Rattus norvegicus: one gene and its partners. The protein of the gene in region 2 purifies or fractionates together with the protein of the main gene of each other region. This does not show direct contact. Links are inferred from orthologs where the notes say so. Each region holds a gene or a part of one and is shown on either strand. Other genes may lie near its edges. The genes, in order: Anapc13, Anapc16, Cdc27, Anapc2 and Anapc7.

Region 1 (6,760 bases), on a different chromosome or scaffold from region 2:
TGGGTGTGTATTTGCTGAGGAACAAACTGAGCCTATGCAGGGAAGTAATCAGGTGGAGGCATCTACAGCACAGCCTGGGCTTGGGGTTTCGTAGGGGCTATGACAGCATTTTATACCTACTGCTCAGAAAGGGAAAGCAGCAGCAGCAGCACCAGCCTGGGCATGATGCCCACACCTGGAACCCTAGCACATGGGAAGTGGAAGCAGGAAGATCACATTCAAGATCATCCTTGGCTACATAGTAAGATCAAGGACAGCCTGACTCCAAAACCCCGCCAAAGCAAACCTCGGAGGAAATTATCACAACTGTTGGTCTTGAAGGGTACCTATTAGCTAGAAACAAAACAATTTCCAGTATCAAAAAAATACCGGAAATTGTTGGGCTGGAGAGATGGCTCAGTGGTAAAGAGCACTGACTGCTCTTGCAGATGTCCTGAGTTCAATTCCCAGCAACCACATGGTGGCTCACAACCATCTGCCCTCTTCTGGTGTGTCTGAAGACAACTACGATATACTCACCTAAAATAAATAATCCTTTTTAAAAAAAAATTGTTATATGTTCAAACAATTTAAACACATTAAAGTCTATTGGTTTGTTGGTTTGTTGGTTTGTTTTTAAGGTAACGCCCTTGGGTTACTTTTGGAGGTTGCTAAACTACAGATTTAAACACATTCAAGTTTATCTGTTTTAAGGTAGAGCCCTTGGGTTACCTTTGGAGGTTGCTAGGCCACCAATTCATTGCTGTAGTCTGAAAGGAAAGGAACAGAGTTAAGCATTTTCTTGCTATTCCTGGATAAGCTGTATTCAGGATAGTCAGATAAGAGTGCACTGGGCGCATGACCGTGGCTGTCCTGCAGTAACAGACCTGGGCACTATTAGCCATGTTAAATCTCTCTATTGACCAAAGGGCTCCTGGGCAATTTCATGGTGGATCAACTGAGCAGACAGCATAGGAACCACTACATACACAGCTTAATCTCAACATCCCAAGTGGGATGACTCAGACATTACAAGTCTCCCTGATAATGAATGCAACCGATAATTTTCATAATATAAAGCCTATAACTATTACGTTTTTCTTATACCTCCAATCAAAAATCAAGGTTGAATCTAACACTATTTCAAAAGATCATTGTATTTCAACAGAACTTTCTGTAATTATGGAAACATTTTATCTGTATTGATCAAACAGTAGCCACTAGGCAACCTGTGAACGCTGGGTATATCAAATGTGGCTAACGCAATTGAGGAACCAAACTTTTATTTCATTTAAAATATCAGGACTGGCTGATGACTGCCACACTGGACAGTGTAATTCAAGATTTAGCCAGTGGAGGAGAGGTCATAGAAGAGTAGAGGAACATAGTCAAAAATATATACAATCAGTTAAATCTGAATGATAAATGGAGGTAAGAAAATGCTATAGATTAGAGGGCTTTAAAGGCCTAGCAATCGAAGGCAACAGACAGTTCTCTGCAGGAAATCTGGTCCAAGCACAGTATTTCAATTTCAAGCACATATGGAGTAGCTGAAAAACCCTGAACCCATTGGATATTGATATTGTGTATTTGTTATAAATTTGTACTGATATAAAGATAGCACCGTGATTTTGTAAAACTTAAAAAAGCAAATCTAGCCTTTGGCATGGAGAGTACCTTAACTATGTTAGCTATGATAGTGTGGACTAATGCTGTCACCATCAGCCACTACACAGGACAGGAAGGCCTAAGGAACTGTCCCCTACCTCCCCACAGGAGGAAACAGCATCAGCAGATACACATTCTAAAGGGACATGCATCTGTTTATAAATCTCTAACCCATTTTAGTTTGACAACCTCCTTAACTGATCGCTGAGGACGGCACAGTGAAAGACAAGAAGCAGGGACAAAAATTACCTAAAAATGGCGCTGCATTCCAATGAATGAATATAATTCATGAATGAAACGAAGATAATTCGTTTCATCGTATCACTAAGCTACAGCCTTTAAGAGTAGGTGTAAATAGTTAGATAATTAAAGCCATTGATCTTTGACTTACAAAATATAAATACAAAATAAATGCAAATGTTCGAAGAATTGTACAAAGAGCACCTACCCTGCTTTAATAAAGTAATACATTTTAAAACTCTAAATTGGCCTCAAGAAAGAGAACTCAAAAAGCCAGGCGAGGTGGTGCAGATCCTTAACTAGCAGGCAGAGGTAGGTCCATCTACAATGAGGCCAGCCTGGTCGACCAGAGCAACAAAGGAGAGCCGGTGCTAGTTGGAGAGAAAGGGGATCGCTTTGAGCAATAAGTGTACAGTTTATAAATGAAAACTCTGTAACCCCACGATTCTGTGAAGTACAAAAGCCCTTTCCAATCAATCCATTCACGGTCAAGTGTCTCCGCGTAAAGCGTTGTTATCGAACTGCTCTTTCAAAACTTTCACTCGACTTGAAAGCGTTCCGCAATTCGCCTGCATCAGGGGTTCCCGCACCTTTCCTACGAACATTACGAGGGAACCCTGCGGACTTCACGCTGAGTGGCTAATGCTAAGGCCTGGTCCTACACCCGTAGCAGCAGGGTTCCTCCCCGGGAGCGAAGCAACCCGCCCTCCCGCTGGCCGTAGCACCTGGCCGGTCAGCTCAGAGCCCCATAGGGAGGAGACGGAGGAACCCAGGGACGCAGCGGCCGGACAGCAGTGGGCGTGCAGTGGAGGCCCCCGCGGTAGGTGGGCCGCAACGAACTGCGGCCCCGGGCCATGCGGCCAGAAGGTTAGCGGCACCACGGTGGCCAGGGCCGCAAACGCACAACAAGCCGCAGCTCGCCCGTCTTAGGGGCATGCGGTCGGTTACGGAGCGCGCCCCCGGCAGAGCGCGCCCCGGGGCCTGCCCGCCGTTCCTCTGACCGGGAACGCGCGCACGTCACAATAAATCGACGTTCGTCCCGCCCCCTACAGCAGCGAATGGACTCACCTACATACGGGGTATGAGAGCGCCGTGCGTCACGTGACCCGGAAGAAGGGCGGGGCCCGGAGGAAGCCGACGCGCGCTCTGTGGGTAAGGGTTTTTCGCGCCCGCCGCCCGGGTTTCTGAGAGTAGCCAAGCGTTCGCCCTCGACTTCAGAGTCGTTCAGCGCTTCCAGAAGCGCAGGCCGGTACTCTCAACCGACCTTCAGAGCCACTTCTTTACTGCACGCTGTGCGGAGTGGAACGGAGCACCCATGGCGACGCTCGACCTCCCCCTTGCACTTCCGCACGTAGTAGCTCCAGCACTCGAACCGGAAACGGCTGCAGCGGGTGGTTCTGCGTCTAGTGACCCAAGATGGTGGCCTGCGAAGGCCAATTTTAGTATCGGCCCCCGTGCTTTTAGCTTAGAAATACATTTACAAAGCTGTGATTGTGAAAATACATAAAACGTGAGTATGTCTCATAGGACGTACGCATCTAATATCTAGAAAGAGATGTCTGGACAAAAAAACTCCTGTTGTCACATATTGTGCTCAGAGATCAAGACAATCTGAGAGCTGAGAATTTATCTGGAGGACCGGGCATAGTAAGAGAAGAGTACAAAAAGTTTAAGAAACCTAGAGAGGTTATGCTGTGTCGTAAGGGTTTGGGGCATTGCCTGTGCTTGCTTTTCCCAGGGGGAGCACCCGATCACCTGACCCAGGAAAATAGATGTAGACTTCAAAGCCCTGCCGCGGTTCCTGTTGTTTAGAAGGACGAGCAAGCATAACTGATGAAGTACAGTGGGTGGGTAAAAAGCAAGCCGGTTTGTAGGCATGTGGGAGAGGGTCGTGTTAAAAAACATTGAGGCCGGGCTCAGGGAGTTAAAAAATCATGAGGCCAGGCTCAGAGAGATGGCTCAGGGGTTAAAAACACTGTCTACTCTTCTAGAGGTCCTGAGTTCAATTCCCAGCAACCACATGGTGGCTCACAACCATCTGTAATGAGATCTGGTGCCCTCTTCTGGTCTGCAGGCATACATGCAGGCAGAGAGCTGTATGATATATACATAATAAATAATTAAAAAACAAACAAACAAACATTGAGGCCAGCTTGTTGAAAGATTGGGAATCACCGCATTACCACTGGAGACAGTAGGACTCTGCCAGTCAATCACAAAGCTGACCTAACTTGTTTCATAGATCATTTAATGTGAGCAACAAAGCATTCAAGGACAAAGAGCCTGCTAAAAAACTGGAAGGAAGTCAGAACACTTTAGAAAAGGATGCAGTCTGTATAGGACTGGGAAAATCAGTACAGGAAAGAATGAAATGTAGCCCAAGACACAGCTATAAAAACAAAAGATTGACAGGAAAGGGGAGGAAACTTGTCAAGCCCTAGAGGAGTGACTAGAAGTGGCTCTTCAGCTAGCTTTGCATTATCCACTAGCTAGGGTCTGGTTAAGTCTGAGGAAAACTGCTAAGCCATCACCTGGTTTTCACTCAGCAGGAGGAGCTGACCACCTTTGGCTTCAGTGTTTGTATGCGGGTGTGTGGTGTGTCTGTGTGCATGAGCAGACAAAAAAGGTGTGGTTTCTGCCTACAGGTGGAGTCGTAGATGAGTGTAGAGGTCAGAGGTCAACGTCTGTGTCTTCCTTTATTACTTTGAATCTTAAACTAAACCTGGAACTTTCTGATTCAACTAGACTGCCTGGCAGCCTCCCGGAGGACACAAGTGTGTGCCATCGTGCCAGGCTTTTTACGTGGGTGCCAGCAATCTGAAGTCAGGTCCCTTGTTTGCACAGCAAGCACTTCAGTCCACTGAACCTCCTTCTGGGCCCCATCTTGTTTAATTTTTTAAAGTGAAAGCCCTTTCCCTCCTGCAGACTCGGTAGATAGTGCTAGCTTTGCCTTTACACCATTGGAGACAAGCACATAGCCGTATGGCAAAGTTTGTTTCTTGCTTGAGTCTCCCTTCTCTCAGAAACAGCAGTTCCTGAGAGAGCTACTGGTGCTAACCCTTAGGACCTTTCCTTGGGTTGCCACTTTGTGGCAAGAAGCACAATAGGCTGTGTCTGTGATAAGGAACAAACTTGGAAGCCAGAAACCCAAAAAGCACTGCTTGACGACCAGTCTTTTGAGTTAGACTGCAACAGTTTGAGGAGAAACATGTGAAGCAGTCTGTGGTCAGGGGCCTAAGCAAGCATCCTGAGCCTTTGGAACAGACACTGAGGAAAGCCAACAAGACGGCCTAGTGGCTTACAGGCAACCTGAGTTCAATCTCTGGGACCCACTTGATGGAAGAAGAGAACCAAAATCGCCACGTTGTCCTTTGACTTCCACATGTACATACACAAATAAACAGGGTTTTTTTTTTTTTTTTTCAAGAAGGATGAAGGCTGGATGTTGGGATCGCAGCACAAAGATCCCTGCACCCACAAATATCCAGGGAAAATGTTAAACGTGCAGGATTGTTTTTCCAATGGTAAGATGTAAAACCTGTTCTTCTATCCAAAGAGCTGGGAATTGGAAGTGATTAACAGTCCTGTAATCTGAGTGATCTGTTGGGCCAGACCACATCAGGCTCCTACAGCCAGGGCGAAGGTCGCTGATAGCCCAGGTGAACTCTCTTGCTGTATGACTGAGACCTTCCTTGGACCCCAGTACCTATCTCTAGAACCCGCCTTCTTGGAAGGAATGTCGTGGACCCTAAGTGCAGTTTTAATGTAATTACACTTTCTTGTGCACCAGAAATTGTTATACCAGGAAACTCTTTTTCAAATCATACCAGTTTAAGTCCGTTAGAAATAAACCTCCTGGCATCAAACTCCCCAAGTCTAAGCCAGACTGGTGAAATTTCACTTCATCCTCACCTCCCTGGACTCCTGCAGGATCCCCCTCAGCTGGGGATGTAAGTCAGTTGTCAGCGTGCTTAACCTGTATACACAAAGCCCTGGGTCTGTTCCCAATACCTCACAAAGCAGAGACGGTGGCACAGGCCTGTAATCCCATTGGTAGAGGCAGGAGGATTAGGAGCTTAAGGCTGCTTTCGGTTACAGAGAATTTGAGACTCTCAAAAAACAAAAAGGAGGAAGCCCAAGGGGACAAAGAACCTGGAACTGCCACCGTTGATCTTAAACTTTTACTGTTGAGTTCAGTCTGGATGCTCTTTAAGAAAGGAAGTGGTTCCCTGGGTAAGCCTAACTGCCCACATTGTTCCTGCGCTAAGGATTAGCAGCTGGCCTATGGTTGGTCACCTTATGATTCCCAGTTCAGTGTCACCCAGCATGTTCCCTTAGCTCCTGTGCCTTAAAAATGCCAGTGTTTGAATAAGACAGGTGGAGACTTGTGCCAAATAGTGGGGGAGGGCTTAAGGAGCAGGAGATGACACTCAGACCAAGCCAGTCTGAGTCAAGTCAGAGACTCATCGAAGACATCACAAGCAGGGAAGGGTGATTCTGTAAGATCATAAAGATAAAAGAAAGGACCTTATTCAGAAGACAAGTTTGCCCTCTGGTTACACGGCAGCCTAATCCATCAAGCACCTGTCAGCAGAGGTGAGAACTGTGGCCTTGATGTCATCTGACACAAGATGGGACTCTCCTGGGGTGATGTTAAATACAGTAACAAAACCAGTTTCAAGCTAAAAGCAATCCTGGTACTGGATTATACTGTACCTTCATAGTGTTAAAAAAAATTACCTCTTTGGCTTACAGACCTGACAAGATCAAAGCTGCAGGAGGATGGACAGTGAGGTACAGCGAGATGGAAGGATCTTGGATCTTATTGACGACGCTTGGCGGGAGGACAAGCTGCCATATGAGGATGTAGCGA
Region 2 (4,957 bases):
AACCTGGGTACTCAAAACCCTGTCTAAAAAAAAAAAAAAAAAACAGAAAAACAAAACCAAATCATCAAAGTTTACGTTTGAGTCTATTAGGGGGCAACCAGGTAAACAAGCCTCCACTGTGCTTCAGAGTCCTCCTTACCAGGCCTCAGGGTAGAAGGCAGGACAGTGACAATTTGCTGTACCAATACACAAGTTTTAGCATTTCCCCTTGATGTGTATGCATGTGTGTAGGCATGTCCACGTGTAGGGTGGAGGACAAATTTATACCATCCTCAGGGGTGCCAACCATGTCCTTTGAAGCACGGTCTCTCAGTGGCCTGAGGCTCACCGAATATTAGACTGGTTGCCAGTAAGTCTCCTAGCTTTGCCTCCTCAGGGCTGGTTCTTTGCAAATGCTGCCATGTCTGGCTTCATGTGGGTTCTGGGGATGACACCCAGGCCCTTGTGCTTGGGAGGCACCTTACTGACTGAGCCATCCTACTAGCCCCAGGAGCTTTCACTGTACAAATTTAAGGCTGGGGATTACAATACCATGTTTCATAGAGTCTGAGCTTTTGGGGCTGGCAGACTGGACCTCAGCTATGCAGCTTGCTCTGGACCTCATGCCCCTCTTCCATGGTATGTGTGGGGTAGTATTTAGCTATAGAAAGGGCTAATTAAGGTCTGACACAGTGAGAGATGAGTCAGAGGTAGACTGGGGGTGAGAGACAACAGCCAATGAAAGGTGCAGAGAGCTGGAACACACCTTTAAAAGAGTAGTCAGGGCTCTGTTGGGAGGGCCTGTAACAGCTGAGTGATTCATGGGAAACATTCACAAAGGAGCCCCGTGTCTCTCTAATCTCTTCCATTATCCTCTTGCTAGCTTCTCTCTAAGGTCTTATGTAGCCCAGGCTGGTCATGAAATCCTAATTCTTCCACTTTCACCTCCCAAGTGCTAGAATTACTGGTGTGTGATACCAAGCCTGGCTTCTCTTTAATGTTCAAGGTCACATTATGAAATGCTCAACCTAAACGAGGAAATGCTCTGTAGTAAGTGTAAGTACCAGGGGCAAAGGGAGGTGGTTTCACTATGAAACCAGAGGGCTCACTGCACTTGGGAATCCCACTGCTCTCTAGGGAAGCAGCTGGGAATGGCCTTTCACAGTGGCTGAGCAGACTACAGAGAGGGTGAGGCTGTGGGCCGGTACCCCCAAGCTCTGGTTTGCTTCAGACAAGAGCAGTGGGCTCCACAATCGGTCAGCTTTCATCCACTCCCACTCACAGGGCTGTCTTCTGCCTGAGCTATGCAACCCTGCACAGCAGTTTATTTTCACTGGCTTAGCCTTTCCCGAGTGAGTGAGGCTAACTCGTCCCTCTCAGGGACTCTGTGCCAAACAGTTTGAACTCCTGAGATGAAGGATTAAATTCATCTATAATTAAGCAACTGTAAGCAGTTCGGGCAGATGTGTATGTGACAGAGCACTCCTAACTGTGCAGTGGTGTGGGTCATGACAAGGTCTTGGTCATCCAGGCTTTTCTCTATCATCCTGTAAAAACCTAGTGAAGAGAGGAGGGTAATCCTCAGACATATTAGGCTGAGGCAGAAGGATGACTATAAGTTTGAAGCCAGCCTAGCTACGGAGAGACGAGGTTCCAAATGAATGAACCAACAAACTGTTACATCGACTGAGGTAGCAGTAAGTTGGAACTTCTATACAAGCGAACAGCTCACAGCAAAGCAAACCTACTGTTTACTTAAGAGAAGTGACTGCAGAATCTAAGGGAAAACTCACCCGGCCTCTCCTCTCTGTCTAAATCCCCCCGACTTTGAAAGGATAAGCACACCAATTTGGAGCTCTTGCAAGGATTTATTTGCTACAGAATTGCTTTCATACCCCAGCGAGCTGGACTAAGGACTTCTGGGTCTAAAAGGATTTAGGTCACTTCATGTTTTCAAGTGCTGTGACATTCAAAAAGCAATTTTGGTAGGGCAGAGATGGGGTAGAGTAGCACCATTTGCCATGTGGTAAGAGGCGAGAAAAATAATCAGTAATATTAAACGTCTAAGAATAGAGAAGGAAAGAATACTTTAAAGTTCCCATCTGGACAGTCCCTGAGCTGAAATCACATTTATGTGTGAAGAGAAATGTTTGGGCTGTGACCGTGAAGTGACAGATGCTGACCTTGGGCTTGGCTGGTGAAAGCTTCCAGACACTCTGAATGACAGGATATACGCCACTCATCTGGCTGATTCTGGCACGTGTCCTAAATGTCTCCTAAATCCCAACTCTCCTGGTTCTCTGAAAGGCCTGTGGTCATCTGATCCCCAATACTTCTTTTTATTTTTGAGACAGGGTCTCTCTACATAGCCCTGGCTGTCCTGGAGCTCCATGTAGATCAGGCTAGCCTCGAACTCACAGAGATCCTCCTGCTCCTGCTTCCCAAGTGCTGCCCAATACTTTTCAGAACACGAATGTGAAAAACACCCCAGTGCCGTCTCACAGGAGCACTTGTTGCCTATTAATAGAAACAGAGGAGCCGTATGGATGTGAACTCAGACATGCAGCTCACAGTATAGCTGTGACTCTCTGGGAGACCATGCAGCATCATCAACCCGAGGAGGGTGTGAACCCCAGCAGCTGCTCGATGGGTTTAAACCGCCACTCATCAGCCTCCAGCTCTTCCACCAAACCAGCCAGTTTTTCCATCCGAGCGACTTGCTGATCTGTAAAGAGTCAAGAGATAGAACACCAGGACATTTCCCATTAGACTGCCACCAAAGTTACCAACATGACAACTATCTAGGCTTAATCTCAAGGCAGACTTTCCTTACTTTATGTAGGTCTGAAGACAAACTTTTGAAACCAAACCGAACCAAACTCCCCTTTTCTAGCCATTCTCCACTCACCTGCATTCCAGGGTCAAGTGCTCCACCACTGGGCTCTATCGGCTTCCATGCACACTGCCCTTTGTGTGGATGTATACATGTATGTGGATGTGTGTCATGTACATGGTGGGCAGAGGTTGGCACTGGCTAACTTCCTGAATCCGTTCATTCTCATTATTTGCTTATTATTTATATGTATGTGTATGTGACTAGGGAAGCTAGAAGGGGGTGTCAGATCCCCTACAGCAAGAGTTACGGATGCTTGTGAGCCACCCTGTGGGTGCTGGAAATGAAACCCAGGTCCTCTGGAAGAAGAGCCAGGGCTCTTAACTGCTGTGCCATCTCTCCAGCTCTTATCTGAACATTGTTTTTTCTCTTGCTGTCTGAACCAGGCAAGGTATGTCACCCCTTTATCTCCCTTCAGACTCAGCCCTTTCCAGGACCAAATCTCAAGATGGGGCTTCCATGTTCTTTTCTTTCTCTGAGTCTGCAAAGTTTTTTATATTAAGATAATTTTAAATACAGTTCTTAAGAAATACAGGTGACTCTCTTGCGGAGCCCACACCCATACTTGGGTATGTGCTCTCCTTTTCCTAAGGTTTCTCTCTATTAATCCTACTAATCCCTATGTTTAAATCTGTATTAACAACTTCCCTCTGCTCAGAGGCAAGCAGGGTTTATTGCTGCAGCAAAGTAGATCCTGTAGCAGGAGAGGAACTCAAAGTGAGCCCCTACCATCTCTTAATAAAGAAAAGAGAGGGGCTGGAGAGACGGCTCAGCAGTTAGTTAAGAGCACAGAGTGCTCTTGCAGAGGTTCTGAGTTCAATTCCCAGCACCCCTGTCAGATGGCTCACAACCACTTGTAACTCCAGCTCCAGGAGTCCCTGTCATCATTAGGCCCTTGAGGTCCTCGCTCTCACTTGCACACACCAATATGTGGACTGCATACCTACGTGCATAATTAAAAACAGAAAAAGAGAGTGTGAGTGTGAGGGAAAGACAGGGGGACACACATACACACACAGAGACAGAGATGAGGGGGGAGAGAGGGGGAGGGAGGGTATGAGGGGAGACACTCAGAGACAGACAGACAGACAGACAGACAGACAGACAGACAGACTTGGGAAGTGGAGGCAGGAGAAGTGCTCTGAGTTCTAGATCAGCCTGGGCTACGCGTTTCAGAATTTCAGAAATGAGTTTCAGAATGAGAAAATAATAAGAAACATAATTAAGGGAAAGCCTCTCAGTTATGAGGGGCTGGGGATGAGCCCCAGTGGTGAAGCACATGCTAGTGTATGCCGTGCTCCTTGTTTGAGCCCTAGCACTGTGAAGAGTAAAAAGATAATTACTACAGTCACTCTCTCAGATGTGCTAGATGCTAAATCGTGGAGATGGTCTTCGGGGCTCATGTCTGCAATCCTAGCTCTCAGGTGGCTGAGGCGGAAGCTGCCATGGTTTGACCTGGGAGGACTGGTGCATATTGAGACTCAGTGAAGTGCATGTGCCACCCGGAGTTCAGGGCTTCCACAGGGCAGAAGGCGCTACAGACACTAGAAGAATGTAATGTCTGAAGGGGAGCAGTAGCTAGTCTCAGGAGAGGGGACAAAGGCAGTTGAGGAGCAGGCAGCAGCAGCTCCACTAGAGAACTGAACCCGGGGCTTCAACTTCAAACCTCCAAGGGGATTTTCAAGCTCAACAAGATTTTAGAATGTCCTTCAATTCAGAAGGTCCACTTAACCAGTGTGTGGCTTTTGCCACAGCAGTGACCTTTCATAGGCTGTGTCCCTTCACTTCCCATAAATGCACAGGACAACAGGTCTTATACTCACCATGTTTCACCTGTTTAAGTGTGGATGCCACTTGATAGCTAAACACCGACTCACAGAGGAATCGCTCAGAGCCATCTACAAGCGAAAGGCACAGGCATTAGCTTTAATAGCTTCTGGCAAAGCAAGAGAGGCTGTCCACTCATTCCCTGCTTCTACATTTGAGGTCTAAGGTGTTTCTGGTGAGAACAAAGGGGACCCTTTAGAACACTGCTCTGTACAAGCTACCTCTCTATACCTAATATTAAAAATAGTTCTACTTGTT
Region 3 (6,053 bases), on a different chromosome or scaffold from region 2:
ACACTCTTGGGTTTGATCCCTAGGACCCACTTGGTGAAAAAAGAAAAGAACCTGTTGCTATAAGTTTATAATTTACATTTTTATAAAACTTAGGATGGCTGTGGGCAGTAAGCAGTAAACTAAGAAAAATCAGGTTTTGCATGCACATTTCTATACAAAATGAAGAACAATCACACACATTTGTAAAGCCATTAATATTCCCCTCATATAAAATGATCAACTGCTTCTTTAGCATGAATAATACATATGCTGCTCAAACTAGATTTGTCCACATAGCAATTAAAATTTAATGAGTTCTGGTTTAAAGGCAGGACTGAAAATATAAGGTCATAAATCACTAGCTTCCTAATGATTCTAACTACATGATTGTTCTAAAAATACCATTAACTTTTCACTGCGTCTGTCATTAGACTCACGGTGATAATGAAGGATGTCTTCATGAAGTGCGTTTACTGACATTAAAATAAATTTATATTTTAAAGGCTTGCAGAAGGGGAACAAATCTTATCTGGTGGAGTGTTTAATAAGCAAAAAAGCCATGACGACCTTGTCACTGAGTTTGGTGATTCAGCTTGCTTCACTCTTTCCTTGTTGGGACATGTATATTGGTAAGTGCCAGTGACTCAAGACTCCTGTATAGAAGTGCTCTGGACTGTGCCCATTTGATATAGACTCCTCTATAGAAGTGCTCTGGACTGTGCCCATTTGATATAGACTCCTGTATAGAAGTGCTCTGGACTGTGCCCATTTGATATAGACTCCTGTATAGAAGTGCTCTGGACTGTGCCCATTTGATATAGACTCCTGTATAGAAGTGCTCTGGACTGTGCCCATTTGATATAGACTCCTGTATAGAAGTGCTCTGGACTGTGCCCATTTGATATAGACTCCTGTATAGAAGTGCTCTGGACTGTGCCCATTTGATGTAGCCTATATTGATGTTTACAGACCCAGTTGGCTTTGTAGTTCTAGCCTTTCCCATCATGACCTCATTCCATCCGTTACCTAGTAAGGACGTCGTCCCATTTGCACTCTGCTTAGCTCCTTAGTGATAGTAGCTACAGTTCTAGCAAGTTGTCACCACTGAAGACACCAGTGGTTTCTTTTCCTTAAAATTAAATACTACTCTTTCCCTTAGAGTTGTGGAAGGTAGGTTTCAGTAATGCAAATTAAGTGTTATTTTCTTCCAATATGTAGTAACCTTTGAAGTGTGTAACAAGGATTTTTTTTTTTTAAAGCTTAAAGATTTATTTATTATATATGAGCACACTGTAGCTGTCTTCAGACACACCAGAAGAGGGCATCAGATCTTATTACAGATGGTTGAGAGCCACCATGTGGTTGCTGGGATTTGAACTCAGGACCTCTGGAAGAGCAGTCAGTGCTCTTAACCACTGAGCCATCTCTCCAGCCCTGTAACAAGGATTTTTAACATCCATGAACTCAGAATTACTATATAATAGTAACATGGTTCTCACTCCTGTTTTAAAAAATACGTTTGAAGGGGTTGGGGATTTGGCTCAGTGGTAGAGCGCTTGCCTAGCAAGTGCAAGGCCCTGAGTTCGGTCCCCAGCTCCGAAAAAAAGAATAGAAAAAAAAAATACGTTTGAAGTTGAGTAGAAAAATAGAAAATATTCAAAACTGCCCATCGGGATTTTTTGCATGTAATAAATGCCATCTGTTATATATTATGAAAAAAGGGATTAAAGCCTACAAAGAAAGAAAGAAAAAGAACTGCTGTTAAAAAAAAAAAAAGGGGGGGTTGGGGATTTGGCTCAGTGGTAGAGCGCTTGCCTAGGAAGTGCAAGGTCCTGGGTTCAATTCCCAGCCCCGAAAAAAAGAAAAGAAAAAAAAAAAAAGTAGCCAGGTATGGTGGTGTATCCCTTTAATCTCAGCACGCAGGAGGCAGAGTTTAAGGCCAGCTTGGTATTTGTGGTGAGCTCTGGGCCATTCAGGGATACATATGACTTTTTGTGTAGAATAAATTATCTGGTTAAATAGGGGGTTTTCAGGTGATGTCAAATCATTCATGCCACAGTTGTGAACTAGAATAAAGAAAGATAGAATGAGTTGAAAAATGGTGTACGCCTTTCGTCCCAGCACTTGGGAGGCAGAAACAGATGAATCTTTGAGTTCTAAGACAGCTAAGGCTACACAGAGAAAACCTGTCTCAAAAAAAAAAAAAAAAAAAAGAAAGAAATGAAGCTGGGTGCTGTCGTCCAGCTATGATTATTGTTGTCATTCATTCGAGGGATGCTTGAGGTTCTTCTCCCATTATACCTAAAGACGGTAAGGACTTGGTCCTGGGAATATTAAAGGGACTAACTCACAGCCCCCACCATATTTTGTGATGGAGAAGGAAGAAACAGTAGTTAAAATTTTTATTATTGTCAAAAGGTATTGTAATAAGGTTTGGGCAGTATTTTGATCAGGTGAGGGAATGCTAGTTTTAACTGGTTAAGAATAAAGGCAGCAGCCTGTGTTCCGTCCTCCATGCTGGGCGGGAAGGAGTAGTAACAGAACGCACCTAGAGGAGAGTTGACAGCAAAAAGAGTCATTTTTTTCTTATATGGTGGCTTCTCAAAAAAAGTAGATGTTTGAGGGCAATAAATGATTTACAGGGAGTGATGGGGGAAGGAGGTTGAAAAAATAAAAATCTTAAGGAAAAATGTAGAAATTCTTTTAAAGTATAATTAGATTAGATAGAAAAATATGTATATTTTGGAATTGCCAAAAGCAAATATAGGAAGGCTAATCACAGGAGTTTAGATCAATCCTCAAACATTGAGATTTCATTGGATTTTTCCCTTTAATATTTCTTTAGTGAATGTATTTTCTGTGCGTTGCATGTTTGCAGTAAGGCCAGGGGAGAGGTTGATCTTTCTACGTCATTCTACCTTCTTTTAATCAGGGTCCAGTCTCTGTCTCTGTCTCTGCCTTTCTCTCTCTCCCTCTCTCCTTCTCCACTCACTCACTCACTCACTCACTGAGCCTGGCAGTCACCAGATCGCATCCATCCTCCTGTCTCCACCTCCCATAGCACAGAGGTCACACTCATTTATGGTCACACTCAGCTTTTTTTTTTTGGCATGGATGCTGAGGTTCGAACTCAGGTCCTTGTGCTTGTGCCACAGCCCCTGTATTTTTCTTTTCCTTAACCTTGGATTAATATTAATTAATTGGTGTTAATACCCATGGATTGATTTGTTATTTATGACTTCTATTGCTTCTAGAAAATTATAATTTAGGGACGCATCAAAGAGTGCTGTGAGAATTTTTATAAGATTTACCTGGTTTTTTATATCAAAAATTATAAGAAAAGCTTTAGGGCTTATAGTTTATTTAATCCATTGTTTCTCTCCACAGCAAGACAGATCGGCTTGCCAAAGGATCAGAATGTTACCAAAAGAGCCTTAGTTTAAATCCTTTCCTCTGGTCTCCCTTTGAATCGTTATGTGAAATAGGTAAGCTCATGGAGACGGTGGCGGGAGCGGTCTTCTTCCTCTTCCCCTTTTCTATTTCTCTCTCTCTCTCTCTCTCTCTCTCTCTCTCTCTCTCTCTCTCTCTCTCTCTCTCTCTCCTTTCTGTTTGTTTTATATTGTATTTTTTGAGTTCGGGTTTTCTCTGGAACTCTGTAGACCAGTCTGACCTTGAGCTCACAGAGATCATCTGCCCCTGCCTTCCAAGGGCCAGGACTAAAGGTGTTTGCCACTGCCTTCTGGCAGCAAGATCTAAGTTTACTGCCAGCTTCAGCCGCATTCAGCTTCACCACTAGGGGAGTTTGCAGGCAACCCTATCTCAAAACGCATCTTACTTCATGCAGAGGTTTTCAGGTTGGGCAGCAGACACCTTCCCCGCTGTACCTTCATGCTGGCCCTGAGTTATGATATTTAAAACTTGTAATTTAGTTTATTTCCCAAATGTAATCTTTAATGTAAGGGTTAACTTCCACAATAAGTTAATGATTGGGCGTTTGGGAGGTAAGATTGATAACATAAGTGGGCAGGAGAATTTTGAAACTCCAAGGCTTTATTTGTACCTAATTATGTATACTTGAAAAGAAATTACCCCTCAGAGGCAAGTTTTTTGTTTTGTTTTGTCTTTTGGTCTTCACAGGTGAGAAGCCAGATCCTGACCAAACATTTAAATTAACATCTCTACAGAATTTTAGCAGTTGTCTTCCCAACACGTGTACAGCTCTAGTATCTAACCACAGTTTATCTCACAGACAGCCTGAGACAGTCCTTACAGAAACTCCCCAAGACACGATTGTAAGTGCTTTCCTTCTGATGCTCAAGTATTCTGAACACCCGCAAGGGTGATTGGGCCTTAGCAGTGTATCATAAGTGACATGGTAGAAAATTTCTGTTTCAGGAATTAAACAGACTGAACTTAGAATCTTCCAATTCAAAGTACTCCTTGAATACAGATTCCTCCGTGTCTTACATTGATTCAGCTGTAATTTCACCAGATAACGTCCCCCTTGGAACTGGTCCTTCCATATTATCTAAACAGGTTCAAAATAAACCAAAAACTGGTCGAAGTTTATTAGGAGGACCAACTGCTCTTAGCCCATTAACCCCAAGGTAAGTCACACAAGATATTTTAAAGTGTATTCTAATATATTAATGATCTTTGGTGAACCCTATTACTAGTAATGTAAGTTAATTTAAACAGCATCCTCTCAAATCAGTGTGACAGATTGGCGTTCTGTTTTCAAAAAAATGAAGTAAAAAAAATACATCTATAACATTTTTGAATTAAATATTAAAAGGGTGAGAATGTAGCTCAGTTGGTAGAATGCTTGTAGAGCATGCACAAAGATCAGGCTTGATTCTCAGCACTCTGTAAACTGGGCAAGGTTTCAAATGCATGAAATTTTACCACTTGGGAGGTAGAAGCAGGAAGGTCAGAAGTTCCTCAGCCAGGAGTTAAAAGTCAAAGCCTATGATATGTGATGATCTTTCTCAAAGTAAAATTAAGCAGAGGAAAATATTAAAGCTTTTTAAATATGTATCAATTAGTGTATATGTGTATTAAAGATCCAGTCTTTATGGCTGTGCATCTACAGATAGCAGTGAATCCCTCCAGATGTATGTGTATGGTGTGCTTATGGCAGCATTTCCAGTCCTCATTTCTGAAACCTGTCATTGGGAAATAATGTTGTCAAGATTATTAAAAGTGTATTATATACGTATACAATAACACTTCACAAAGGATACGTATCAAACTATCAAACATACCAGAACTATCAAACAAACTCATGAAAAAATAGACTATGAATGGAGTCTCAAGGCCAGAAAGCTATTAAAATAGCATGACCAGGAGATTGATTGGGGCATCTGCAGAGACCAATGGATAACTGTATCGATAATTATTAAGTAATTACTAGTAATCTCTAGAATATTGTCTTCATTGTTCCAAAAATTGGGGTTTGTTTTCATCATTTGGATCATAGCTTTTAAACAGCAGTCCGTTTCTAAGAAAAATAGCCACTGTTCTCTTCAGGTCCTTGTCCTGTCTCTGTGGTTCTGGGGGGTGGAGCCCTCTACATTCACAGCTCATGTTGAACCTGCCCCTCAGGTGACTGACTTGCCATTCTCTTCCTTTTAGACCTTCTAACTTAAGTATACTGCTGCTTTATATATGCCTTGATGACTTTTTGACACCTTGATTTCAACCTCTTCTCAGTTTTGGGATTTTGCCATTAGAAACCCCAAGTCCTGGAGATGGATCCTATTTACAAAACTACACTAATACACCTTCTGTAATTGACGTGCCATCCACCGGAGCACCTACTAAAAAGGTACTTTCTGTGTAAAATGTAGCTTGGGTATAATTAAAGAAACTTATTTAAGGGGTTGGGGATTTAGCTCAGTGGTAGAGCGCTTGCCTAGCAAGCACAAGGCCCTGGGTTCGGTCCCCAGCTCCAAAAAAAGAAAAGAAAGAAACTTATTTAAAACTACAATCTATTAAGGTAATTTCAAGAGAATCCAACTTTATATAATTACTACTTCCTTAGAGTTACTGACCAATCATGAAAGAATGTCCTT
Region 4 (6,704 bases), on a different chromosome or scaffold from region 2:
TATTTGTTCTTTGCCGAAATCCAAGCTCATGATTCTACTATGGTGGACCTCAGCCACTCCTCATGAAAGATGGCAGGGTGTTTTTTTTTCTCCCCTCAGATATTGGAATCAATAAACAGCACTGTAACAAGGCTGCTTTTGCCTTCTTTACGAAGCCCTCAGTCTAAGAGCAAGGTAGAGGCCTAACTTGAGCACCTGTGTGCAAAAAAGCAAAACGTGAGCTCAGTCTGGCATTGTTACACTTTGAGCTCTTGCTGGTCTGCCTCTTACTCTTGTTCTCTCCCCACTGCAAGCCTGGTACTTTCTCCCTCAGAGCTAGGACCATGGGAAGTGGACCTAATGTCTGGACTGTGCAACTCCATGACCCAGGGGCCTAGATGCCAGATGGGAGGAAGGTGGGTGCTGTAATTGACAGGATTCAGTGCAGGGCCAGGAGCCTAGTAAGGTAGCTAGTTGTGTATCACACAGGAATGGGGCTAAATGGAAACTTGGAAATCTTTTCTCACATTTGATTTGGATACCTCCTGACCTATAAGCCTGTAACAAGGCTGTAGCAACAGAGTTCCCAAAAGTCTAGGGAGATGCAGAGCTGCCTACTTGGAAATTGTTCTCAGAGGCCTTGGCAGCCAGTGCTGAGATAGGGCCATCTACAGACACTAAATGTGTCTCCTTTTCCTGTCACCTAAGAGCAAATACAATGCTTGACTAGGCTCAAGCAGAGTGTGAAAATGTATGTTTCTCTCAAGAAAATAAAAGCCCAGTTTTTTTTTTTTTGTTTTGTTTTTTTGTTTTTTGTTTTCCAGAGCTGGGGACCGAACTCAGGGCCTTGTGCTTGCTAGGCAAGGCCTCTACCACTGAGCTAAATCCCCAACCCCTAAAAGCCCAGTTTTATAGGTACTTTTTTTGTTTAAGAAAGGGTTTCACACTGTGTCCCAAACTGGTTTACAGTTTACTATGCTCACTTGAATAGCCTTGAACTTAAGGCTTCTTCCTCAACGAAGGGATGATAGGTGAAAACTACCACAGCTGTTTTCTGGATCTTCTTGGTCAACAAATACTTCCAAACTTCCCCAGAAGCTGTGCAAAGGGCTGGGTCATAGGGCACATGGAAACAGGAAGTAAGCAACAATGTGGTTGGGAGATGGGTCCTGGCAGCAGCAGTGTATTGGACCAAACAGAACTTTGTACTGAGAGATGAACTGTCCCTGTCTCTATCTCTGAGCCAGGCTCTGTATTGAGTACCATTGTACAGCAAAGCCCCTCACAGAATAGTAGTTTGTGTGCTGAACTTGGGGAAATATCAGCAGCAGCTTTTCAAGGAAAGTTCCAGGCTAGGGCTGACCTGAGTGAGGTGAGAACTTTTAGCTCTGTGCTCTGAAGATAGGAGAGTCAGGGAAAAGCTGCAGGTCTTCCTCCTACCAACAGGACACATGGTAGCTGGCAGGCCATGCCACAGATCTTGCAAAACAACCTTTATTGAAACACCAGAGGTCATGGGGATGGGCCCTAAGGTTTTGGTTCTGGAGCCAAGATTCTTTCTTCAATATGCCTGGCCTGGGGCCCTAGTGGCTGAGGAGACAAAGTGAGGGGCTCCCACAGTACCTGGACTAGGACCGAGACATTCCTGGCAGCCCAAGGAGATACAGGAGCTTCAGAAAGAGGCTCCTCATGGAGCTGACCAGGAGCTCAAGGTTCCAATAACACATGTGAGTGCGGAGCTGGGAACACATCTTCCATTGGACTGTCCTGGGGCTTGTCTTGTCACTCAAGGCAGGTGGAGGTCAGAAATTGACACTCAGGGCACCAGAGATAAAAGACATCTGAGGCCATGGAGAACAAAGATGCTTTAGGACAGACATGTTGGGGAGCAGCCATAGGCCACGGCTGAGACAGGGCTTGTCAGCTGTCTTTGCCTCCACTACTCTTCTGGTCTGAAGCCGTGGCTTTAGTCAGGTTCCCAGCTTCTCTTTTGAGTACACTAAGCAGAGTCTGAGAGCTCTCCAGGATCTGGGGCCAGAGAAATAGAAGGATGTTATTTCTCTGGTAAGAAGATTCCCACTGCCTCAGCCTCTGATAGTGGAGGATGGGAATCTCAGTCTGGCCATCTGTGCTGAGTCAACGGGTTATGGAGGATGGTGGGGGCAATAAAATTATCCTCCCTCCTGCACCTGTCCCAGAGCTCTTCCACCCTGCAAAGCCAGGCTGAGTTAGTTCACCCACCACTATGGTACTCTGTCCAGCACACCACTGCTCACTCTCTTGGATCCCACAAACAGCCCACTGTCCGGCCTACAGCCTCTGAACCACAATGGGCCCTACCTAGCCTCAGATGGTAGTGAGGCACTGACAACGCATATCTGAGAGCCCCACCTTGAGGTAGGCGGCCTCTGTCTCCGCAATGGTCCGGTCAAACTCGTTGCGAGAGGCGATCTTGCGCGCCAGGTTCTCGTTGACGCGGGCCAATTTCTCCGTGAGCTGCCTCACCTCATTCTGTAGCCGCTGCTTTTCGTCCTCCTCCTGCTGGATCTGCCGGCACAGCTCCTCTCGTTTCTGACACAACTCTTCGATGCCTAGGGTGGGCGGGAAGACAGAGCTGTAGGTTGGGGCTCGTGAACTTCGGACCCCGACCAGCACGACAGAGGGGAGGCCGCAGAGCGGAGCTCGTGAGGCATGTCGACGCAGCCTCCCGAGTGTGTGGGTTGGCCGGCCCCCGGCCCCGCGGCCTTCAGCGCCCGACGCTCACACTTGACCAACTCGTTGTTGTAGTTCTGCAGCGCCGCGCCCTGTTGGGTCATGGTCGGCACCGCGTCCGTAAGCCTCAACCGCCGCCTGCACCGCCAAGCCCGCGCCTGCGCACTGCCTACACAGCGCGCGCGAGCAAGCGAACGTCACGACTGCGCCACAGCCCGCGCTTGCGTCATCACCGTGCGCTACGCTGGGCGGGTCTGTTTTGTGGACAGTGATGGAGGCCGAGGGTGTGGCGGTATCGGTGGCGGCGGCGGCGGCGGCGACAACGACAATTGTCGCCACGGATGACTGCGACTCTAGGCCTGGACAGGAGCTCGTGGTTGCCTGGAATACTGTGAGCACCGGTCTGGTGCCGCCGGCTGCGCTGGGGCTGGTGAGGCCGGGGAAAGGTTGGCGGGCCTGTGCAGAGTTGCCACGACTTTGTCCTTTAGGGAGTCCATCCTTGGGTCCTCATAGCTCCCGTGCTCTGCCCGTAGTGGGCTTGCCTCCTTCCTCAGCTATCTGATTTGTTTGGTTTCCTGGCAGCCCTTCGGCTGCTGTTTTTTTCCACACCCCTCCTCTCCTTTTACCCCTGTTCCGCCCCTCTGCTCACGGTTTTCCGTGCTCCAGGCATCTTCCCGGACCAGCGGTGCAGTTCCACCAAAGGAGGAAGAGCTTCGTGCAGCGGTAGAAGTTCTGAGGGCCCACGGTCTGCACTCTGTCCTGGAGGAGTGGTTCGTGGAAGTGCTGCAGAATGACCTTCAAGGCAACATTGCCACGGAGTTCTGGAATGCCATCTCCCTTCGCGAAAACTCTGTCGATGAACCCCAATGCCTTGTGCTGCTCCTGGATGCGTTCGGTCTGCTGGAAAGCCGCTTGGATCCCTATCTGCATAGCCTAGAACTCCTAGAGAAATGGACTCGTCTGGGCTTGCTGATGGGCGCTGGAGCTCAGGGTCTTCGGGAGAAAGTTCACACTATGTTGCGGGGAGTCCTGTTTTTTTCCACCCCTAGGACATTCCAGGAGATGGTCCAGCGCCTCTATGGTCGTTTCCTGAGAGTCTATATGCAGAGCAAGAGAAAAGGAGAAGGGGGCACAGATCCAGAACTAGAGGGAGAGCTGGACAGCCGGTATGCCCGCCGCAGGTACTACCGACTTTTGCAGAGCCCTCTGTGTGCAGGATGTGGCAGTGACAAGCAGCAGTGCTGGTGCCGGCAGGCCCTGGAGCAGTTCAACCAGCTCAGCCAGGTCCTGTAAGTACTGCTTCCTGGCCATGCCTCAGTTTCTTTAAAAAGATCTCTGAATAGAGCTAATAAACTGGATGGCGAGGTCTTTTTCGCCTATACTTGTGACCAGGGATTATTGTGTATCAAGTGTATGCTGTCCTGGACATAGGCCTAGGGTGTGTGTACAGTGTCTTTCTGGGAAGACCCCTTCGGGTAAAGGACACATGTGTTGTGGGTTCTCCATAAGCGGGGATCTCCTCCAGGCATAGGCTCAGTCTGCTGGAGCGGGTTAGCGCTGAGGCCGTGACCACCACCCTGCATCAGGTGACCCGGGAAAGGATGGAAGACCGCTGCCGAGGAGAGTATGAGCGCTCTTTCTTGCGTGAGTTCCACAAGGTGAGAATCTCCTCCTTGGTCTGTTTCCTGTTAAGGGCAACGATGGGGTTGGGGTAGACCTAATAGCAAACAGTGGAGTGGTGATGGTTGAGATTATCTTGCTGCCGTATAGAGGCCAATCTTGGACCCTGGTGACAAGGACAAATCTGGTATGTACCAAATAGGTCTGTGCATTTAAAATAAAACCTTTAAATCCTGGGCCAGAGGTGGCTTCAAGGAGTTTCCTCAGGCAGGTGTGGCAAGACAGGTCTACCAGACCCTTTTCTTTCCACTGTCCTATAAAACATATGTTGACTTAACAGTTCCCTTCAGGATTAACCTATAACCAGTCTGGAGCTAGGCTGTCCTCAGTGAATGCCTCTGGTTGTCCATACTCTTGAGGTATGGTTTGTAATTCTTCTGTGGGGTTCCCAGCATTGTGAAGAAGCCAGGTTGAGCTCCATGCAGTCGTGCACCTTGTTTCTGCTTCAGTCCATACCTCCCACTCTTTGAGTGTCTGTCTGCTGCAGATGCATATTAGCCATGGTAGGGAATGATCAAAGTGGGTGTCCCCGCAGTGTTAGCCGTGTAGAGTCATGAACCTGGGAACTCCTGGGGCAGCTGCATTGAACCCTGGGCAGTGGAGTGTAGATCTGATACTTCTGGCCTCCATGCACAGGTCGGGGCTCCACTAGCATCCTGCCGAAGCTGTGTGGTTGCTGAGTCAGAATGGAGCTTTTAAATGTTATTACACCTCATACTAATGATCTTTCACAGTGGATCGAGAGAGTGGTTGGTTGGCTTGGCAAAGTGTTCCTTCAGGACAACCCCAGCAGACCAACTTCTCCAGAAGCTGGGAACACACTGCGTCGTTGGCGCTGTCACGTACAGAGATTCTTCTACCGAATCTATGCCAGCCTACGTATTGAGGAGCTTTTCAGCATCATCCGAGGTTGGTCCTGCTTCTTACTTTGCAGGACCTACCTTTCCCAGTCATTTTCTTTGCCTTACCTGCTGCTGTTGGCAGGGTGATAAGCTGAGCAGAGTGGACTTAAGTATAACATGTAGGAAAATATAGTGTCAGGTTGTAGAGATGTCTCATCAGTTAAGATGGCTTGTTGCTCTGACAGAATACTCAGGTTGTTGTCAGCACCCGTGTGGCAGCTCATAGCCATCTGTAGCTCCAGTTCCAGGAGATCAAGAACCCTCTTCTGCCCTCCACTGGTACCAGGCATCCACATGGAGCCTATACATCTGGGCAGCAAACAGTCCCTGCAAACAAATACTCACATGCATAAAGATTTTAATCTTTTTTTTTTTTTTTGGTTCTTTTTTTCGGAGCTGGGGACCGAACCCAGGGCCTTGCGCTTCCTAGGCAAGCGCTCTACCACTGAGCTAAATCCCCAACCCCAAGATTTTAATCTTAAAATTTAAGATTTGCAGCCGGCATTGGTGGCACACACCTTTAATCCCAGCACATGGGAGGCAGAGGCAGGCAGATGGTTCTCTGTGAATTCAAGGCTGGCATGGTCTACAGATTGAGTTCCTGGATAGCCAGGGCTACACAGAGAAACCCTGTGGTCTCAAAAAATCAGGAGGGGGAAAAAAAAGATTTGAAGGCATTTTTACTAATTGCATTGCAAGAGTCGTTTGGCAACATTTTATTTCCATTTTCCCAAGAACTAGTACAACTTGGGACAGTTCAGCTATCTACCATGGAAGGGATGACTGTGTTGTGTGAGTCAAAGCAGCTGTTGGAGCTTTAAGTGTCATTACACCTCACACTAATGTACTAATGATCCACAGTGGATGGAGAGAGTAGTTGGTTGGCCTGGTAAAGTGTTCCTTCAGTGAAGCAGTCATATGTGCTTCTGGTTAGATGAGCCATCTATAGTCAGATTGGCCTCCAGTGACAGTTAGTGACAGTAGAATGTTTGGTACCTGATGGATGGTTCTTGTCTGAGCCCTGCCAGGTTGTGTTTCTTGTGCTGTGTGTATCCTTTAGTGCTTATCACCCCTTTTCATTTACCTATCCCTATGGCACCATTCTCTTTCAGACTTCCCAGACTCTCGGCCAGCCATTGAGGACCTTAAGTACTGCTTGGAGAGGACGGATCAGAGGCAGCAGCTCCTCGTGTCCCTCAAAGTGGCCCTAGAGACTCGACTCCTCCACCCAGGTATTGTGTGGCCACTGTGGCCTGACCATTCAGATAGCCCTCAGGGTTCACATACAGTTCCCAGCCCTGAATTTGTAGTCCTGAGAGAGGAGCATGTTATTAAGCAGGGAGAGCTGGGCTAACCCTGAGCTTTATCTGTTTTTGGAGGAAGTCAGAGCATGATTTGGTCTGGGACTGGTTTGTGATCTTTTTGGAATAG
Region 5 (6,487 bases), on a different chromosome or scaffold from region 2:
TTCATCCCTTAAGAACGTTCATAACAGGGCTAGAGAGATGGCTCAGCGGTTAAGAGCACTGACTGCTCATGAGTTCAAATCCCAGCAACCACATGGTGGCTCACAACCATCTGTAACAAGATCCGATGCCCTCTTCTGGTGTGTCTGAAGACAGTGACGGTGTACTCGTCATATATAAAATGAATAAATAAAATCTTTTTTTAGAAAAAGAACATTCATAACAACTTGTAAAGGTACAGAGTGGAATCTTTTTTTTTTCTTTTGGTTCTTTTTTTCGGAGCTGGGGACCGAACCCAGGGCCTTGAGCTTCCTAGGCAAGCGCTCTACCACTGAGCTAAATCCCCAACCCCACAGAGTGGAATCTTAACATCAGCCTCCATGTTCCTTCGGTGGTTTCCTCCCCCCAGTCTCCTCCCATTCCAGTCTCCTCCTCTTCCTTCAAACTTTTCTCCCACCCATCTTTTCTTCTCGTCCAATGACAGGCCTTATTCTATCTTGGCACAAACCCCAAATGGCAGCATTTTGCCTTTTTAGGTATATCTTTCTCCTTTTTTTCTTTCTTTCGGAGCTGGGGACCGAACCCAGGGCCTTGCGCTTCCTAGGCAAGCGCTCTACCACTGAGCCAAATCCCCAACCCCAGGCCTTATTCTATCTTGTACCCGCCTTCACCTGTATGACATCATCCCACAGGGTCCCACTGTATCCATTTGACTCTTCATTGATTGCTCAACACTTATTCCCGTTATGTGGCTACCGTTAAGAAGTAGGACGTATTTTTTTGTTTGTTTGTTTTTGTTTTGAAACAGGGTCTCACTATGTATCCCTAGCTGTCTTGGAATTTACTAAGGTAGACCAGGCTAGCCTTGAGCCCACAGAGATCCAGCTGCTTCTGCCTCCCAAGGGCTGTGCCTTAAGGATTTTGTCACCATGCCTGGCATGTTTTCTTCCTGACTTGGGTCTTCTTATAGATACATCAGGCTGGCCTGAAACTCACTATATAGCCCTGGGCTGCCCTTGGTTGTTCTTTCGAAGGTCCTGAGTTCAATTCTCAGCAACCACATTGGTGGTTCACAACATCTATAAAGGGATCTGATGCTCTCTTCTGACATGCAGCTGTACATGCAGACAGAACATTCGTGTGTGTGTGTGTGTGTGTGTGTGTGTGTGTGTGTGTGTGTGTTTCTGTCATGATTTTTCTTAGAATAAATGGACTTTCTTTCGCATCTGTTTCTTTAAGATTAAGTGAATAGGACTCAGTTGGTAAAGTGCCTGCTGCGTGCCTTGGATACTATTCTATTGCCGTGAGGAGACACCATGACCGAAGGCAACTTACAAAATAAAGCACTTAATTGGGGACTGCCTTGCAGTGTCAGAGGGTTAGCCCATGATCATCACAGTAGGAAGCAGGGCATCAGGCAGTCATGCTCTGGAGCAGTAGCTAAGGCCTTACATCTGATCTGAAAGGTGGAGGCAGAGAGGGAGTGAGACTGGGCGTGGTGTGGGCTTTTGAGACCTCGAAGCTCACCCATAGAGGTACACCTCCTCCGAGGCCACTCCTTCTAATCCTTCCTAAACAATCCACTAAGTGGGAACCAAACAGTCAACTATCCAAGCCTACGGGGCCATTCTCATTCAGGTCACCACCATACTACGGAAGCATGAGAATGTGAGTTTTAACCCAGTATCCATGTGAGTTCGTTCTCTCTCTCTCTCTCTCTCTCTCTCTCTCTCTCTCTCTCTCTCTCTCTCCTGGATTAAAAAAAAATGAAAACAAACCTTGAATCTCAAATCTAAACAAACATCTTCAGTTGTTTAAATTTTATTTGCATGTAGTTACTTATTTTGTGGGAGTGAAAGGCACATGCTGCTGTCTCAGAGGACAACGTGAAGGAGTCTGCTCTCTCCTTCCACCATGGTGGACACAGGGGGTCCAATTTAGAAAGCTAGCCTTGCTGATAAGTGCTTCTACTCTTAAGGTGCCCAGCTTTAACATTTGAAAGTTTGGGTTTCTTCGTTGGCAAGTAGGGAATGAATGACAATTCAGAGTATTTATCTATTTTAGGGGAGGCTTTTTCAGACACTGTTTCTCTATGTATCCCTAGCTGTCCTGGACTCTATAAACCATGTTGATGTCGAACTCACAGAGATTAGGCTGCCTCTGTCTCCCAAGCGCTGGGATCAAATCACCGCCCGGCCATAAGTTGTTATTTTTTTAATTTATTTTTATGATTATCATGCATTCCTGAATGTATGTCTGTATACCACATGCATGTATGTGCCCATGGACACCAGAAGGAGTCGGATGCCCTGGATCTGGTCTTACAGACTGTTGTGAGCCACCAGGTAGGTGCTAGGAACGGAATTCTTCTGCAAGAGAAGCATGCAGATTTAACTTCTGAGTCGGCTCTCCACCCTTTATGGGAATGGCTTCAGCGTTGCAGTTTGTGACTATGCAATGCAGTAACGAGTTCGTAAACGCTTGAGATGTTGACAGTGGAGCCATCAGAGATCCAGCTCACTCCTGGACCTATCCTTTCTTTGTACTTGGATTTAGCGGGCCACTTGAATTGGTAAACCATGACTTGTAGCAAGGAATCTACTCAGCGAGCGACAGGAACACAAGCCAGCAGATGAGGGGGCGTGGCACCTTCCCCTGGAGCGCACGCGTAGTGGAAAAAAGTCAGCCCTTGGGCGCCTGATTCAAAAATTCAATTTTAACTGTTAGTTTTCCGCCTCTGCTAGGTTTATGATGAACTCCTAAACATTGTTGCTAGCCTCTGAGAGGCGTCCATTCTTCTTGGGTTGTCTTTATCTCAGCAAAACCACTATTCCTACTCGGATATTCCTTCTAGCGTGGTCAGTCCTCAATAAAATTTATCCTTTAATGATGGGGCAACCCCTTTCGCCTCACGACTGCCTCTTTTTACGCAGGCACATCCGTAGCAACCTATATCTTCGGGGGGCGGAGCCGCGTCTGGACCAGAAGGACCCCGCCGCCGCCGCCATTTTGGAACTTTCCCTGAGACTCGGCTCCGCTCCTGGGGGTTCTGTCAGCTGCTGCTGGGTCACGGTGTCGCCGGGCAGGATGAGTGTGATAGATCATGTGCGGGACATGGCGGCCGCTGGGCTGCACTCCAACGTGCGGCTCCTCAGCAGCTTGCTGCTGACCATGAGTAATAACAACCCGTGAGTGGAGGCGGGGAGCGGCGGTCTGGGAGCCGGGGCTGAGATAGTGGAGGACGCTGTGGTCCGGCTGAGGCTGCGCGGATAGCGAGGGCCTCTTCCGGTGGTCTCGGAGGACTGGCTATTTCCAGAACGACGCAGTCCTCTTGCTGCCTCCCGGAGACCCAGTCCACCCAGTCAGACATGGAGGTTCCGCTCTGGCGTAGGGAGGGAACCCCACTTTCGAGACTGGGAGCACCCTTGGCGAGCGTCGTGGCGCCTTTTTTTTAAAGGACTCTGGCAGCCTTTTGTAAGGCCCGACGCAGCCGCATTGTCGTGACTGGTTTGTTTTGGTTTGTTTACAAACAGGCTCTCCTGTAGCCCAGACGAGCCCGCAACAGACTGTGTAGTCGAGGAAGACCTTGCTCCCAGAAGCTGGGATCGCTGGTTTTTGCCCCACTGTGCTCGGTGTACGTGTGGTCCTGGGGTTCGAACCCGGGATTTCATGCGTGCTAGGCAAACCCTACCAACGGAGTTTACTGAGTCTAGACCGGTTTACTGAGTCTCAGTTGAAGCACGGGACAGTTGTGGCCTTGAGTGCCTGTTGGGCCTTGATAAAAATTCCCCATCATTGCTTCACCCTTCGACGTGGCTTCCCAAGTCAACCTATTCATTCCTTTCTTTGATTTCTCACCTTGCCCGAACTCTCAGTACAAGTTCATTCTCTCCGGGCATTGGCACCTGTGGCTTCACTTCAGAACTGCTTGCTTCCTGGTTCAGTTTTCAGCTCAGAAGCCTCTTCTTAAACGGACCTCCTAGCACCAGACCTTTCCACTTTGATCTTTCCCCTTCTCTCTTGCCATCTGTTGAAAGAGCAGTTTCCATGTGTGAGAAGCACTATTAAACTTAATGAAAGTGCGTGTCTATTACAAGGCAGTCCAATAGGTCGACCAAGATTATACTCCGGAGAACTTAGAGGAGCAAGTGGGTTTGAGTTCTGGTTGTCTGTGATTGGAGATAGTTTCTACTGCAGTCCACCACTGTGTATGTGTGTATATATACATATACATATATATATGTATATATACATATATATATATGTATATATGTATATATGTGTGTATATATATGTAAAATATTTACATATATATGTAAATATGTAGTTGTCTTCAGACACCAGAAGAGGGCATCAGATCCCATTACAGATGGTTGTGAGCCACCATGTGGTTTCTGGGATTTGAACTCAGGACCTCTGGAAGAGCACTCAGTGCTCTTAATCTCTGAGCCATCTCTCCAGCCCCGATCACCATCTTCTTAATGTGACACGGGACGCACTGGTCTCTGTCAGTCTTCTATGTTGATTCTGAGGCCTTTCCCCCTGGGTCTGAGTGATTCGTCATAGCAAATAGTATTGGGGATTAATGCTCTAATCTTTACTCTTGAGTCTTGACAGTGTGTTAGCATTGTCTGAATGCTCTTGAGTTTGCTTCTCTAGCTAGTCTGACTTTGGCTAATCCATGCTTGTTCACACTAGGTTAGATCATCAGTTTTCTTTAGCTACAGGAAGCATTTAAGTTCTGACCTGTATCCTTTATATTTTGTTATTTGTTGAAGAGACAGTGTATACACTGTTGAAAAAAGTTCAGTGGTAGAATTCTTACCTAAAATGTTTGAGACCATAGGTTTCATCTTCAGCACTGCCCAAATCGAAAATGGGCAAGTTGGTTGAACAATGTGTGTAATGTCACATAGGAAATTCAAAGAATGAAGGGTGTTTATGGAGTGGTTTGTTACAGCTTTCCTCTAGAGGTTAGAGTTGTACCTCAGACTTGGAGAGCCTCCCTGGCATGTATAAGACCCAGGCTTGGGTTTATGGCATGGCCAATAGCAAAACAAATTTCTTGGAAGGCCTGATTATATGTATGTATTCACTGAAAAATAAGCGTTTGATGCTTTACTCCCGAAGTGGTCAAATGTTTATACACTGTAACATGCTTGCCTAGTAATGTCTCTCCATACTTGGAAAACAAGGAAAACAATTGTTTTCTCTGGAAAAGGAAGGTGGTTGGGTAAGGTTAAAACTGAGGAAGCAGTGCTCGGCCTTCCTCTATGTTGCTGTTTGAATGTTCTCTTGTTTTGCCTTTTTCTCCCCCACCTCACAGTTTTGAGTGTTTTTGCTTTTGTTTTTGTTGTGTGTACATGTACACAGACATCCAAGTACACATATGTAATAATAAAATTTTTTTTTATGAAGGTACTATAGTTTATTCCCTGCCAAGTGAAATCTGATTAGGGAATGACTGTTAATAGACTTGGAATTACTTTGATTTTTATATTTATGTGCCTGGTGCATTTGGAGGCCAGAAGAAGGCATCGGATTCTTTGGAGGTCAGAGCTGGAGTTCAAGCAGTTGCAAGCTGCCTGATGTGTGTGCTGAGATTCAGACTTGAATCCTCTGCAAAACCCACATGCTCTTATCTACAGAGCCCTTCTAACCCTACTTTTTGAGAGAGAGTCATAGCCCAGGCTGATTTTGGACTGATTATATAGCCAAGGATAGCTCTTTGAATTCCTGGTCCTCCTGCCTCTGCTTCCAAATGCTAGGACTACCAAAGTGTATGATCATACTGGCAGTGGTACCTAATTGTTTGTTTTTTTAAATTTCTCTCCCATTTTGTTTGAGAGAGACAGGGTCTCTGTAGTCCTAACTGTCCTGGAACTGGCTGTATAGACCAGGCTGGCCTTGAACTCCAAGATCTTTCTGCTTCTGCCTCCTGAATGTGAATTAAAGGCCTATGCCACCACATATGGCTTCCCCTATGTTTAAAATACTTGGGCCAGACATGTTGGCACACACCTTTAATCCCAGCACTCAGAAGGCAGAGGCAGGTGGAACTCTGAGTTTGAGGCCAGCCTGGTCTACAGAGCAAGTTCGAGGAGAGCCAGAGCTACATAGTGAGACCCTGTCTTCAAACAAACAAACAGCCAAAACTAAATAATAACATGAAGCAAACTCCTGTTTATAGAATTGCTTGTCCTGGTCTGTTCTTCACTTTCAGAGAAAAATGTATAAACATCTCTTAATTTGGGAAGGAGTGGGACTGGAGGAACAAACATAGGAGTGGTAACCAGGGTTACAGATAGAGCTATGATGGAATGCTTGCATAACGTGTAGAGGCCTTGGACAAAAAGTAAAGCAGTGTCTCGGCATTTAACCTGGCTTATAAGGACTGCTGCATCTTTTTGAGGGTAAAGGATGAAGTTCTGTGATAGGCTTGCCTGTGTGCTCCATGTGAGACACTGAAAAACAAAGAGGAAAGGAAAG

Evidence for each region.
Region 1: the proteins of Anapc16 (region 2) and Anapc13 purify together in Homo sapiens (affinity purification with mass spectrometry; 3 studies listed by BioGRID and IntAct, counting the BioPlex papers as one, with this or other methods). This does not show direct contact. The link is inferred for Rattus norvegicus from reciprocal best matches to the Homo sapiens genes ANAPC16 and ANAPC13.
Region 3: the proteins of Anapc16 (region 2) and Cdc27 purify together in Homo sapiens (affinity purification with mass spectrometry; 10 studies listed by BioGRID and IntAct, with this or other methods). This does not show direct contact. The link is inferred for Rattus norvegicus from reciprocal best matches to the Homo sapiens genes ANAPC16 and CDC27.
Region 4: the proteins of Anapc16 (region 2) and Anapc2 purify together in Homo sapiens (co-immunoprecipitation; 5 studies listed by BioGRID and IntAct, with this or other methods). This does not show direct contact. The link is inferred for Rattus norvegicus from reciprocal best matches to the Homo sapiens genes ANAPC16 and ANAPC2.
Region 5: the proteins of Anapc16 (region 2) and Anapc7 purify together in Homo sapiens (affinity purification with mass spectrometry; 6 studies listed by BioGRID and IntAct, with this or other methods). This does not show direct contact. The link is inferred for Rattus norvegicus from reciprocal best matches to the Homo sapiens genes ANAPC16 and ANAPC7.

Annotation. Positions count from the first base shown.
Region 1 is NC_086026.1:112,081,419-112,088,178, forward strand, and holds the start of Anapc13 (anaphase-promoting complex subunit 13), read left to right. Parts: upstream 1-2,986; 5' UTR 2,987-3,039; exon of another isoform or gene 3,040-3,228; intron 3,229-3,257; exon of another isoform or gene 3,258-3,397; intron 3,398-5,319; exon of another isoform or gene 5,320-5,411; intron 5,412-6,642; 5' UTR 6,643-6,669; coding exon 6,670-6,760. Other genes in the region: Cep63 (centrosomal protein of 63 kDa), read right to left, coding at 712-740. UniProt on the Homo sapiens protein: Component of the anaphase promoting complex/cyclosome (APC/C), a cell cycle-regulated E3 ubiquitin ligase that controls progression through mitosis and the G1 phase of the cell cycle.
Region 2 is NC_086038.1:28,468,455-28,473,411, forward strand, and holds the end of Anapc16 (anaphase-promoting complex subunit 16), read right to left. Parts: intron 4,771-4,957; coding exon 4,696-4,770; intron 2,705-4,695; coding exon 2,589-2,704; 3' UTR 1,828-2,588; downstream 1-1,827. UniProt on the Homo sapiens protein: Component of the anaphase promoting complex/cyclosome (APC/C), a cell cycle-regulated E3 ubiquitin ligase that controls progression through mitosis and the G1 phase of the cell cycle.
Region 3 is NC_086028.1:89,924,959-89,931,011, reverse strand, and holds part of Cdc27 (cell division cycle protein 27 homolog), read left to right. Parts: intron 1-482; coding exon 483-608; intron 609-3,366; coding exon 3,367-3,464; intron 3,465-4,116; coding exon 4,117-4,271; intron 4,272-4,374; coding exon 4,375-4,586; intron 4,587-5,691; coding exon 5,692-5,806; intron 5,807-6,053. UniProt on the Homo sapiens protein: Component of the anaphase promoting complex/cyclosome (APC/C), a cell cycle-regulated E3 ubiquitin ligase that controls progression through mitosis and the G1 phase of the cell cycle.
Region 4 is NC_086021.1:28,481,671-28,488,374, forward strand, and holds the start of Anapc2 (anaphase-promoting complex subunit 2), read left to right. Parts: upstream 1-2,957; 5' UTR 2,958-2,962; coding exon 2,963-3,121; intron 3,122-3,357; coding exon 3,358-3,980; intron 3,981-4,216; coding exon 4,217-4,349; intron 4,350-5,105; coding exon 5,106-5,280; intron 5,281-6,385; coding exon 6,386-6,505; intron 6,506-6,704. Other genes in the region: microtubule nucleation factor SSNA1, read right to left, coding at 1,900-2,007, 2,371-2,570, 2,744-2,795. UniProt on the Homo sapiens protein: Together with the RING-H2 protein ANAPC11, constitutes the catalytic component of the anaphase promoting complex/cyclosome (APC/C), a cell cycle-regulated E3 ubiquitin ligase that controls progression through mitosis and the G1 phase of the cell cycle.
Region 5 is NC_086030.1:39,817,342-39,823,828, reverse strand, and holds the start of Anapc7 (anaphase-promoting complex subunit 7), read left to right. Parts: upstream 1-2,214; 5' UTR 2,215-2,343; intron 2,344-2,929; exon of another isoform or gene 2,930-2,931; 5' UTR 2,932-3,085; coding exon 3,086-3,186; intron 3,187-3,202; exon of another isoform or gene 3,203-4,146; intron 4,147-4,308; exon of another isoform or gene 4,309-6,487. UniProt on the Homo sapiens protein: Component of the anaphase promoting complex/cyclosome (APC/C), a cell cycle-regulated E3 ubiquitin ligase that controls progression through mitosis and the G1 phase of the cell cycle.